3 linked regions of the Cricetulus griseus genome follow. The protein of the gene in region 1 purifies or fractionates together with the protein of each later gene. This does not show direct contact. Links are inferred from orthologs where the notes say so. Each region holds a gene or a part of one and is shown on either strand. Other genes may lie near its edges.

Region 1 (3,650 bases):
TAAACATGCCCCTGTCAGGAAGAGTCGGAATTAGAGCTCCTCATCTATACTTCAACCACCAGTCATGTTTACCTTGATCTTCGCCTCATCGGGCCCTTTCGTGGACTCCTGCACCTTGCTGCCCTGTTTCTCTCTCTGCCTGTAGGTCTTCATAACTCCACATAAAAATGCACTTTTGTTCTAAAACATGCAAGCAATTCAAAAGGTAGAATTACCAGTAATCTTTGAAGGGTCAAATACACAATTAAATTTAATATTCATTCCATTCATTCAACAAATAGTTTGATGAGTAGTCACTATGGACCAGAGGTTGGGCCAGACAGTGCCTCAGGGAGCTTACCTTCCAAACTGGGGAAAGGAAAAAAAAGTTCTTCTATTTGTTAATATTTAATTGAAGCTGAACTATTTTTCCAAGATGTCTAAAAGTATTTCTCACACTAAAATAGAATAACCAAAAAATTAGCTTTCTTTTCTTCTTTTTTTTTTTTCCTGAGACAAGTGTTTCTCCTGTGTAGCTTTGTAAACCAGACTGTCCTGGAACTCAGATCCTTAAAGGCATGTGCCACCACTGCCCGATCCCAAAAATATTTTTAATGTAAGCAATTCAAGCATATAAAACCTTAACAATAACAATAATCAAGCCATGGCTTTAAGTTTTTGAAGAAACTTACTGTATAAAAGGTGGAGGAGACTTTCGCTTTGTGCTTATGCTTCTGAAACTCTTTGACCCAGATCTTTTTCCCTTCAGTTTTTCAAAGGAGAGATAGTCACAAGCAAAAAAGACCAGTTCCCCACAGGGAAAAGAATGCCATCATAGTGCAACAGCTGCAGATCACTGCTCAGAGGCATTTGCTAGAACTGACCTTACCTGAACATGAGATAAGTCACTTTCCTTGAACTGCTGTAGCACAGACAGAGCTCCTTCTTCATTAAATTCCCTGAGAGCATCAATTGCTCTTTCATCAAGATCGACATAAGCTACCAACCCTAAAAACCAAATTGAAAAGGGTTAACATTATTGCACTAAGAGGCTAAACTCTCATAGTAAGAGCTGTTACATTCAATACTACCTCTGACAAACTACATTCTCATTTACTTATATGCATATACATAGTTATACAAATAAGATATAGCAAATACAAATACAAAAATCAAAGATAAAATGTCAACAACTATAAACATGAATTTTCACTTTAAAAAAAACTTAAGATCCTAAAATGTTTCCAACTCCCCAAACAGCAGTTAAGTTCTGAAAGTCTGATATACACACTGTACTAAAGATGCACCATTCACTTAAATTCTGGTTTATATTAGAGTGGCAAGAAATACCCTGTATTTGATAAAGATAAACATTCAAATTACAGGTTGTTGCAATTGTTTACTATAGAAGAGGTAGGAGAAAATATAAGAAGCAATTTTACTTAATTCTTTCCACTCCAAAAAGTGTCAAAGGTTTTCCCTCCTTAGCACCCAAAATAAATTAAAATGTGTTTATCCAAGCATCTACTTTGCTGCAGTCAGAATGTGGAAGGGCATAATTTTAAATTATTCTACAAATGCAAGTGCAGCTTGCTAAATCAACTCTGAATTTCAGATTTTAAGTCAGTCTTTTTCTCTTCTGAAGTAACAAGCTGAGACTTAAAATATGCTGTGGCATTCACAACACTGTCAATAACGACAATCTCTTTCAAATGTCAGTAAAAATGTTACAGATTTTTAAATAAAGTATGCAGAATATATATGCTGCATTCTACATATGTAGTCTACCTAACTACACACAGAATATCTATGTTTAAAATAACTTACTATATAAGGAATCTTTTCAGAATTGGACCAATGTAAAACAGAAATATTTGACAGATTAACAGTCCCCTCCCCAATTCCATATGAACCAACACCAAAAGTGATTCTATTTTGGTAAAGCCAAAAAGAACTTTATTTCATACAGCAAATAAACTGAAAATAAATATAATGCCACTTGGAAAGTTATTGTTAAAAAAAAAAAAAAGTTGCCATGTCATGTTTTAAAAGCTCAAAATGAGCATGGCTAAGTGACTGGAGTTTCCTTATACTTGAGTATTTCATACCACCACCCAAAGCCACAACTCAGGACAATCATCAATCCATCCTGTCAATCCAACCCTACACCCAAACCATCAGCCTCTTAGCAGTAACAAAACACTATACAGGGAGCGTCTCTAAGCAGATCTCTGCCAGTTCTCTAGGGCAGATAGAATGTCACAGAAAGTTCCTGAGAACTGGTTTTCAAATGGGACCATCACCCAGGAGTCATTTTTATAAGCCATTTTAGTATCTAAAATTAAATCTCAGTTGTGAGATTTAAAATATTTTAAGGGAAAAAAAAGCACAGCTATTTGTCTACTGTACTTAAGACACATTTCTAAGAGGAAGCAGTTCAATTCTCTCTCTCTCTCCTGATCTGGATAGGCACACAAACACAGAGGAAGAAAGTTTCCATCTATGGCCCCAGAGGAGGACACATTTATTTACGAACACCATTCCCTAAGGGTAAATATTTCTCTCCCTCTTTAAAACTTCACCACTTACAACCAACCATATTAAGATGTTCAAATTTTCGTAAGCACTTAACCATGGGACTTACACATTAAGGAAAAAAAAAAACAAAAACAAAAAACAGCTGTTACAAACCAAACACTTCCAAATTACGGAGAGATGTGTTATTTCTGTCTATTAGAAACTAGACAGGCCACAAACTCTCAAGGAGTCTGACATATGTTATCATTTCAGACAATACAGTCTAACTATTCCTCTTACTATGCCACCTAATCAGACCTAAGCTGAATTAACACTCACTTTTAAAAAGCTAAAAGTAGAAAAGTAAAAAACAAAATGATGACTGATTTAGGTTAAGGAAAAATGTAAAATTTGGTATGCTGAAACATACATTTTAATTGGTAGTAAATCTAAGACAAATTGATGTTCTGTTCTGATACAACTAAGACTGCATATTCAACACTAAGAAGGCTTCAAAATAATGAAACAGGAATATCAAGACAAACCCAATATGCCCTCAATGAAGGGAAAGTATATTCAGCTCTACACAGATCAGAAACAGTAAGCATTATTTAACCTTAAAAATCTATAAAATTCAACGTGGTTTGCCCTCACTTTCATAACCAGTCAGAAACAAGAAATGCATATTATACCTGTCTGAAATATTTCATCAAGTCTCTCTGCCACCTTCTGTGGGAGGCCTGCCTCTATCAGTGTCTTGTAGTGCTCTGTGTGAGTTACACTGGAAGTGTCCATGGGTTCCTCCTCTTCTTTTAACTGTACCGCATTACCATTCACCTGATTAGCCATTTTATTATGCTGCTGCTGGAAAAAATTCAGGAGCTATATTACATTAAGCCAGAAATAACTAGTTTGTAGGACAATGCATGATTTATCTGAACTAATTTGTACACATGCTGCTAATAACAACTATCCAGAATATTTAATGCCTTTTGTGAGCATCTGACCTAAATTTTCAATAATAATCTTGTGAAACTATAGAAAATGTACATGGAAGCATTAGATCCTTAAGCAACTTCATGTACTCTGGGTTAAAGGGCTTGAATTTACTGAAGGTACAATTGCTGAGTAACAAAAGCAGCCATTGTGTTCTG
Region 2 (3,750 bases), on another chromosome or scaffold:
CCACTGTAACTCTGCTGGCCATAGGGCTGATTGCTCTGTTGGGAGTAGCCCTGCCCAGGCTGGGTAGGATAGGCCCCATAGCTAGGAGGGGGGAGGGGGAGAGGATCAGAAAAGTTATCTTCAATTGAAAGAAAAAAAGCATACAAAAACAACACAAGTTACACTGACCACCCTTACCACCTACAAACTCCAGCCCAGAAACAACACTCACCTTTGAGTTGCTTGTTGGGTATAGTCTGTAAAAGATGAGAAGGGGAAAAAGTCATGTTAATTTTAGTTAAGACTGGAATAGAATTAAATTCAACTTAAGTACTAGGCACTCTAAGAAGAGTGGTGATGAGACAAACTCTTAATCCCAGCAGAGGTAGGTGGATTTCTGAGTTCCAGGCCAGCCTGATCTACATACAGGAGAGCTAGTTCCAGGACAGCCAAGGCTACACAAAGAAACCCTGTCTTTAAAAAAAGAGGTACGAGGCACTCCAGATCACATTAAATCTACAAAATGCCATTGCAAAAACATGCAGGCATTAAGTCCTTCATGAAACACCAGTTGTGAGGAAAGCAAACTGAATACAAGTTTTAATACAATAAGCAAAGACACAAATTCCTAGACACCAATAAGTCTTAGATTTCTGTTTTGTTCTGGGTAGAAGCCAGGGCCTGGGCCATGCTAAGCTAGCTACCAGTGACACCAGTCCAAGGCACCATACAAATATTTCTGTGGATAACTATTATCTAAAAACATTGCCATGGGACTGTTTCTGTATTTATAGTCAAAATTTTTGTTTTTGGATTTTTTTGAGACAGGAGTTTCTATTACATACCTCTGACTGCCCCCGAACTCACTATGTGGACCAAGCTATGTGGAACTCACCATGCAGACTCAAAAAATCCCCGTCTCTGCCTCCCTATTCCTGGGATCAAAGCAGTATGTGCCCCCACACCCGGTTCAATTTTTTTCTTCAAAAAGTCTCAAAATACAACACAGACGGTCCCTGAACTTTAAAAATTTTCGTCTCGGCCTTTCCAAGGCCTGCAACACACACCACATGGAGTCCATTAGATTAACTTGTACAGTCACAGAGCTATCACACCGTTCGAGTCCAAGCAGTCTGAAGAATTGTGACCCTCCAACACCAAACAAATGCCTTTAAAAAAAAAATCCATTCACCTTGTGACTAACCTCGGAGACCTTAAGGCAAAGGGGAGTTTTAGTACAAAGCCAAACAAGGCAGCAAAGCTCTTTGACCCTAAGTAGCCTCAAGGCTCCAAGACCTGTGGCTCCCAGCGAGTGTGCTCCCGCCTATCGTGCGCATGGAGAAGCAAAGACGGTAAGCAGTAGCTCGGCTTCGAGCAGGAAACCCAGGGTCTGCCCCCGCAGGAGGCAAAAAAAAAAAAAAAAAATGACAGCCAAGAGGGTGTGGCCTCGGAAGGCGACTCCTTTGGTTTCCTTCCTGCCTCAGGAAAACTAAATTCAGAAACGGGAAAGCCCTCAGGCCGGATCCCTGAGTCCGTTCGTCATTTTCCCCAACCTCACGGACACGCGGGCCAGTTGGGAGCGTTTTCGCTCCGGCCCGGAGGCGCGAACAGGACAGCCCCGCCCCCTCCCGAGGGACCCGGGGAGCAGGGCGAGGCCAACACCGGACCAGCAGTCTTCCGCCGAGGGTCTCGCGACAAAAAAAAAAAAAAAAAAAAAAAAAAAAAAATCCAAACCAACTCGAGGCGGGCGAGGGGGAAAAACCGCGCCGAGAAAGGGGGAGGGGCCAGAGGAGCGCGTGCGCGCGCCAAGTGCCCGGATGCAGCACTGCGACAAAGCGGGGCCCGGCAGGCCGGGAGGGAGGGGGTGGGGCGCCGCTAGAGAGACCTGGCGCTTCCTCTCCCCTCACTCCACGTCGCCAGGCAGCGTCCCTCTCCACACCCTCCCCGAGTCGAAGGGCCCAGAGAGCCCTCAGACTCCGCGCCAAAGGCCGCCACAGGAGCCAAACAAAATGGCGACACCACCCTCCCCTGCCCTCCTCCCGCCGCTTCCCGCCACAGAGGTGCGGGAGCCCACACTCGCACGCCACCACAGGCCCACCGAAAACTCAAAAGTCTGGCTGGGAGGGAACGAAGGCTCCCCGGGACGCGCCATTGCCGCCTCGCGCCCTCACATACCGTTTGAAGCCATGTCCGCGCACGCGCGCACAGGCCGCCAAGCAACAGGGTTCCAGACGACTGCGAAGGGACGCCGCGAGGACTGAGCAGCCCCGCCTCCCGCGCCGACTTTAAGTACGCCTCCCGCCTACGCGCCCCGCGGACGTACCAAGTGGGACGGCGCGAGGGGGGAGCGCGGCCGGGTTCCTGCCCCTTCCCGAGGAAGTAGAGGACCCAGAGAGACAAAAGAAAAGGGAACTCACTTGAAAATGATGTCCTCGCATGCACTGTCATCTTGAGGATAATTAGCTCTCATCCGCCCTCCCCCCGGGGCCCGGCTTCGCCGCACTCCTACCCCTCCAAAGGTATAATGGTACGATCCAGCCTCCCGCTATGGGCGGTGCCAGGGCCCTGAGCTTGAACGCAGAACTGTAGTCGAGGCCTGGAGTCCCCGGGTGTGGGAACCGAAATTCCTCTGACGGGGCCCCTCGGCTGGGCCCCACTTTCACTGGCTAGAGCGTGCTTCCGCCTGCCCTGGCCGGTCAACTAAGCCAAACGCAGTGTGGTCGCTCTGGCTCTCCACATTCTCTCCTGAAAGCATGATCAGTCTCTGTCCCTTTTCTCGGTTTTCACTTAGCGGTGCCCCAGCTTGCTGTTCCTTAGACCTTACCAAGGTTTGTAGATTGTGACGTTTGACCTGAAGGAATATGGGCTTTAGCCTGGATCCCATAGCCTAGTCTGGTTCAACACTAACATGTCTACCGCTTAAGTGGTTTCGAAACCCACAATTTCCCACCTTTTTTATTTTTTATTTTTTGCCTCTCAGCACAGCCCAGCTGACCTCGAATTCATGATCCTCTTTGCCTTAAAGCAACGCATTCTAGTATTAACAGTCGACCTGGTTTTCCCCATCATCATCTTGTAAAGAAAATAAATGTATCTGTCTGCTGCAAATGAAGTCTGGGGATGTAGCTTAATGATAGAGTGATTGCTTAGCCGGTGCGTGACCCTGAGTACATCTCCAGGCCCGATCCAGGCAGAGGTGCCTGTGAGTAGGGTTGGGATTTTAATGAGTGCATTCAAAACCCAAGACTAAGAACTTGCCCTGAGTGTAAGGCAGTTCAGGGTCAGACCTTCTGATGTTTAAAATCTAAATCTATGAAACTACAAAATGCTTCTTGACTACATGAAATGATTTAGAGCATTTAAAAGCCTGTGTACTTTTTGTAAGGGAAAGGACAAATATGTAATTCAAGGGGGCTGGAGAGATGGCTCAGAGGTTAAGAGCACTGGCTGCTCTTCCAGAGGTCCTGAGTTCAATTCCCAGCAACCACATGGTGGCTCACAACCATCCGTTGTAAGATCTGGTGTCCTCTTCTGGTGTGTAGATATACATGGAAGCAGAATGTTGTATATGTAATAAATAAAATCTTAATAAAAAAAAAGAGCACTGACTGCCTTCCCAGAGGACCCAAGTTCAGTTCCCAGCACCCATATGGCGACTAGCCACTGAGAAACCTTGCCTGGGGAGGGGGGGGGAATACTGCTATCACAATACCACTTTTTGTTTGTTTCTTGTTTTTTGTTTTTCAAGACAGGGTTTCTTTGTGGCTTTGG
Region 3 (3,650 bases), on another chromosome or scaffold:
TCTTTTTACTCTCTCCCACTGCAACAGTCCCTGAAGGTGAGTCTCTTCCTTCCCCTTTCCCCCTTTTACAATCCTTTTCCCCTAAAAAAAAAAAAACCCTTTCTCTTGGCATATTTCTCTCTGGAGCTCTGCTTTTAAATTACAATACCTGTTGTACTTTTATTTCTGAATACAAGTGTGTCATGTGGAATTTAATTTGCCAATAGCTATTTTACCCAACACTAACAGCATTTTTAGTCTCAGTCACATAGTCATGTGTACCAATTGTTACAAATTTGAAGAATTTTACGATTATTTGTGAATTCAAACACGCCATGTAATCATTTTTGTTTGGGGTCCAATTTGACTTCAGCTCCGCCCTCCCCTATACTCAATCCTTACACATGCCAGCTAGGTACCCTATTGTTGAAGTATAGTCACAACACTGTTAATGTTAAGAACGAGTTTTGGACTTTATTTTAAGCTTACTATCGTAGAGGACAGTGTTCTTTTTTTTTGTCAGGGTCTCACAGTTGTTCAGAAATGGCCTGGAATTCACTCTGTAGACGACACAAGCTTTTAGCATGTGATCCTCCTGGCTCAGCCTACCAAGTAGCTTGAAAGATAAGCCTGGACCACTAGACTTGGCTTATATTTGAACTTTTGGGGGTGTGGGGATTAAAGGTGTGCGCCACCAACGCCCAGCTACATTTGAGCATTATTAATGCACATGTGAAAGAGTCACTGTCCTCTAAGCACACCTTATTTTCTTCCTTATTTTCTGAGATAAGGTCTGTCACTGACTGAGCTTAGAACTCACTAGCTGACTTCTAGGATTCAGTTAATCTCACTTCCAGCATGTCATAATTTTGCTTAGTTCAAGTGGACAGATAATGTTATGTCTTTAAATGGATTGGGAGGTCAGAGAACATAATAAAATTGGTCGTTTATTACGTGTTCTGTCTCTGATAACTACTTTTTCCTATTCAGACAAAAAGTGAAACTCTTTACTGCTCACAACAATATGACCAACTATGCTACTGTATGGGCATCAAAAACAAACCTTGAGCAGAGGAAAGGACGAGCTGGCCGTGTACGACCTGGGTTCTGCTTTCATCTTTGTAGTCGAGCTCGTTTTGACAGGTAAAGTCTCTCTCTCATTTGGGATTGGCCTTATATAGAAGTAAGTGAACAACTTGGAGAAAATTCATTTGGGTTCTTGCTCATTGAGCTGCCTTGATAGTCCAGTGAGATATGTTTTTAAATAAAGATGGGCATTATTCTTAACCTTATATATATTAGCCAGCCTCCGCCCTTACCCTTTCCATTAACTCCATGCCTATGTGTCTTCAGTAAGGTATATTTAAGCTGGAATAATGGGATTATAGTGAGACTGAAAACAAATGAGAAGTTGCCAGTGTTGGTTTATTTAATAAAAGGATTTGTGGACATCAGTTACATTGCTTTTATCAGTTTTTTGCTTTTTTGTTGGTTGTGGGCCGGAGACAGGGTCTCACCCTGAAACTGGCTGGCCTTGAACTTAAAGATGTGCCTGCCTTTACTGTCTGAGTGCTGAGATTAAAGACCTTCTGGTAAAACCACTTACCAATTTTTGATGTTTTCAGTATTGAGTGAGGGTTCTTTCTCTAGTGTGGTAAGTCCTATTTCCTGGTATTTTGTTTTTTGGGTTTTTTTTTGTTTGTTTTGTAAACATTAGGGTTTTAGAGTTATAATCTCATGTGCAATCAGTTGTTTGAGGTTTTTTCAGAGCCCTGGCTCTCCTGGAACTCATTCATTAAACCTGGCTAAACTCAGAGATTCACCTCTCTTTGCCTCCCAATGTTGGGATTGAAGTTGTGTGCCACCACTGCCCAAATCCAATGAGTCTTCATCATGCCATTTTTTTATTAGAAACACTTTAAATTAGAAATGTGGACTTTCTAGTTTTTCGAGCTAGGGTTTCTTTAACATTTTTATTTCTCTATTTATGTATTTAGTATGCTCTTCTGTCTGCGTGTAGTCTGGCAAGCCAGAAGAGAGCATCAGAGTGCTAGGAATTGAACTCAGGAGCTATAGAGAGCAATCAATGCTCTTCACCTGGGTGTTTTTGGTTTTTTTGTTTTGGAGTTTTTTTGTTTGTTTTTATATTGAGTTTACTGTGTAACTTGTCAGATTGGTCTGGTGATGGAGTTACCATGAAATGCATGTAACATGTTTCCAAGACTAAGTTGTGTGGGTTTTTAGTTTAGTTGGTTTTCTTTTTGTTCAGGTCAAGGTTTCTCTGTGTAGCTTTGGAGCCTGGCCTGGAATTCACTGTGTAGTACAGGCTGGCTTGAACTCAGAGAGATCCACCTGACTCTGCCTCCTAAGTGCTGGATTAAAGGCGTTAGCCATCATTGCCCAGCCCAGGGCTAAGTATTTTGGTCGGCCCTGGGAGCCTTTGGGGGTAATATAGACAAAGGATTTGTATTATGTCACCTTTTGTTGCACTTGACACTATTTATGCTTGTCATTGTATGCATAGGTGAGGATTGTTCTCTTTCTGCTTCTCTAAATATTAGACTGGAAACCCACATGACACCAGAGATGTTTAGAACACCATTACATGAAATTGCTTTGAGTATAAAACTTCTGCGCCTGGGAGGAATTGGCCAATTCCTTGCAAAGGCGATTGAACCTCCACCTTTGGATGCTGTAATTGAAGCAGAGCATACTCTTAGAGGTAAGTGCTACCTTAGGCTATCTTTACCTGACAATTCTTATTTTACAAGTATGTCAGATGAAGATAGACTTGGTAGAGCCTTAACTAAAGGCTTCTTAGCTAGTGTCACAATTTTCATGAGCTTGAAGGATGAAGGAATGGAGTATACATACGAGTTTCATTTAGAAAACACAGAATGCTACGTCTCAGGAATCAGTGCACAGATTACTATTTTGAGACAGCGTTTCTCTGTGAAATAGTCCTAGATGTCCTGGTCACTCTGTAGACAAGGCTGGCCTAGATAGAGCTTAGATCTGCCTGTTTCCCAAGTGCTAGAGCATCAAAGGCGTGTGCCACCACCATCCAGCCATAGATTACTCTTAGACCTGTATTTAATATTATAGTGATGTCTTAGAGCTTTGATTTTTTTTTCTTTTTTTAATTAGATGTGTGGGTGCTCAATGCTGATGCTGTTACTGTATTTCTGGTTCCCATTTGCCTAGAACCTAGTTTTATAACAGTCCTTTTGTATTTCATATACCAATATTGAGGTTTTTTGTTGTTGTTGTTTTTTGTTTTTTTGTTTGTTTGTTTGTTTTTGCTTTTTTGAAACAGGGTTTCTCTGTGGCTTTGGAGGCTGTCCTGGTACTAGCTCTTGTAGACCAGGCTGGTCTCGACAGAGATCCACCTGCCTCAGCCTCCCGAGTGCTGGGATTAAAGGCGTATGCCACCAACGCCCAGCAAGTTGTTTGCTTTTAACTGAATTGCTTGCTCTAGGCATTTGACATTAATTTTGACTCTTGCTTTGACACTTGATGGAACATTAACATACTTAATGACATTATCACTCACAAATAAGTATTTTCCCACAGAACTTGATGCTTTAGATGCCAATGATGAGTTGACTCCTCTGGGACGTATTCTGGCTAAACTCCCCATTGAGCCTCGTTTTGGAAAAATGATGATAATG

The links.
Region 2: the proteins of Hnrnpr (region 1) and Fus purify together in Homo sapiens (affinity purification with mass spectrometry; 4 studies listed by BioGRID and IntAct, with this or other methods). This does not show direct contact. The link is inferred for Cricetulus griseus from reciprocal best matches to the Homo sapiens genes HNRNPR and FUS.
Region 3: the proteins of Hnrnpr (region 1) and Dhx9 fractionate together in Homo sapiens (co-fractionation; 3 studies listed by BioGRID and IntAct, with this or other methods). This does not show direct contact. The link is inferred for Cricetulus griseus from reciprocal best matches to the Homo sapiens genes HNRNPR and DHX9.

Annotation. Positions count from the first base shown.
Region 1 is NC_048595.1:16,986,790-16,990,439, forward strand, and holds part of Hnrnpr (heterogeneous nuclear ribonucleoprotein R), read right to left. Parts: intron 3,361-3,650; exon of another isoform or gene 3,358-3,360; 5' UTR 3,346-3,357; coding exon 3,189-3,345; intron 988-3,188; coding exon 869-987; intron 181-868; coding exon 73-180; intron 1-72. UniProt on the Homo sapiens protein: Component of ribonucleosomes, which are complexes of at least 20 other different heterogeneous nuclear ribonucleoproteins (hnRNP). hnRNP play an important role in processing of precursor mRNA in the nucleus.
Region 2 is NC_048596.1:72,807,073-72,810,822, forward strand, and holds the start of Fus (RNA-binding protein FUS), read right to left. Parts: upstream 2,280-3,750; 5' UTR 2,168-2,279; coding exon 2,155-2,167; intron 237-2,154; coding exon 212-236; intron 82-211; coding exon 1-81. UniProt on the Homo sapiens protein: DNA/RNA-binding protein that plays a role in various cellular processes such as transcription regulation, RNA splicing, RNA transport, DNA repair and damage response. Binds to ssRNA containing the consensus sequence 5'-AGGUAA-3'.
Region 3 is NC_048598.1:38,208,277-38,211,926, forward strand, and holds part of Dhx9 (ATP-dependent RNA helicase A), read left to right. Parts: intron 1-969; coding exon 970-1,122; intron 1,123-2,540; coding exon 2,541-2,701; intron 2,702-3,552; coding exon 3,553-3,650. UniProt on the Homo sapiens protein: Multifunctional ATP-dependent nucleic acid helicase that unwinds DNA and RNA in a 3' to 5' direction and that plays important roles in many processes, such as DNA replication, transcriptional activation, post-transcriptional RNA regulation, mRNA translation and RNA-mediated gene silencing.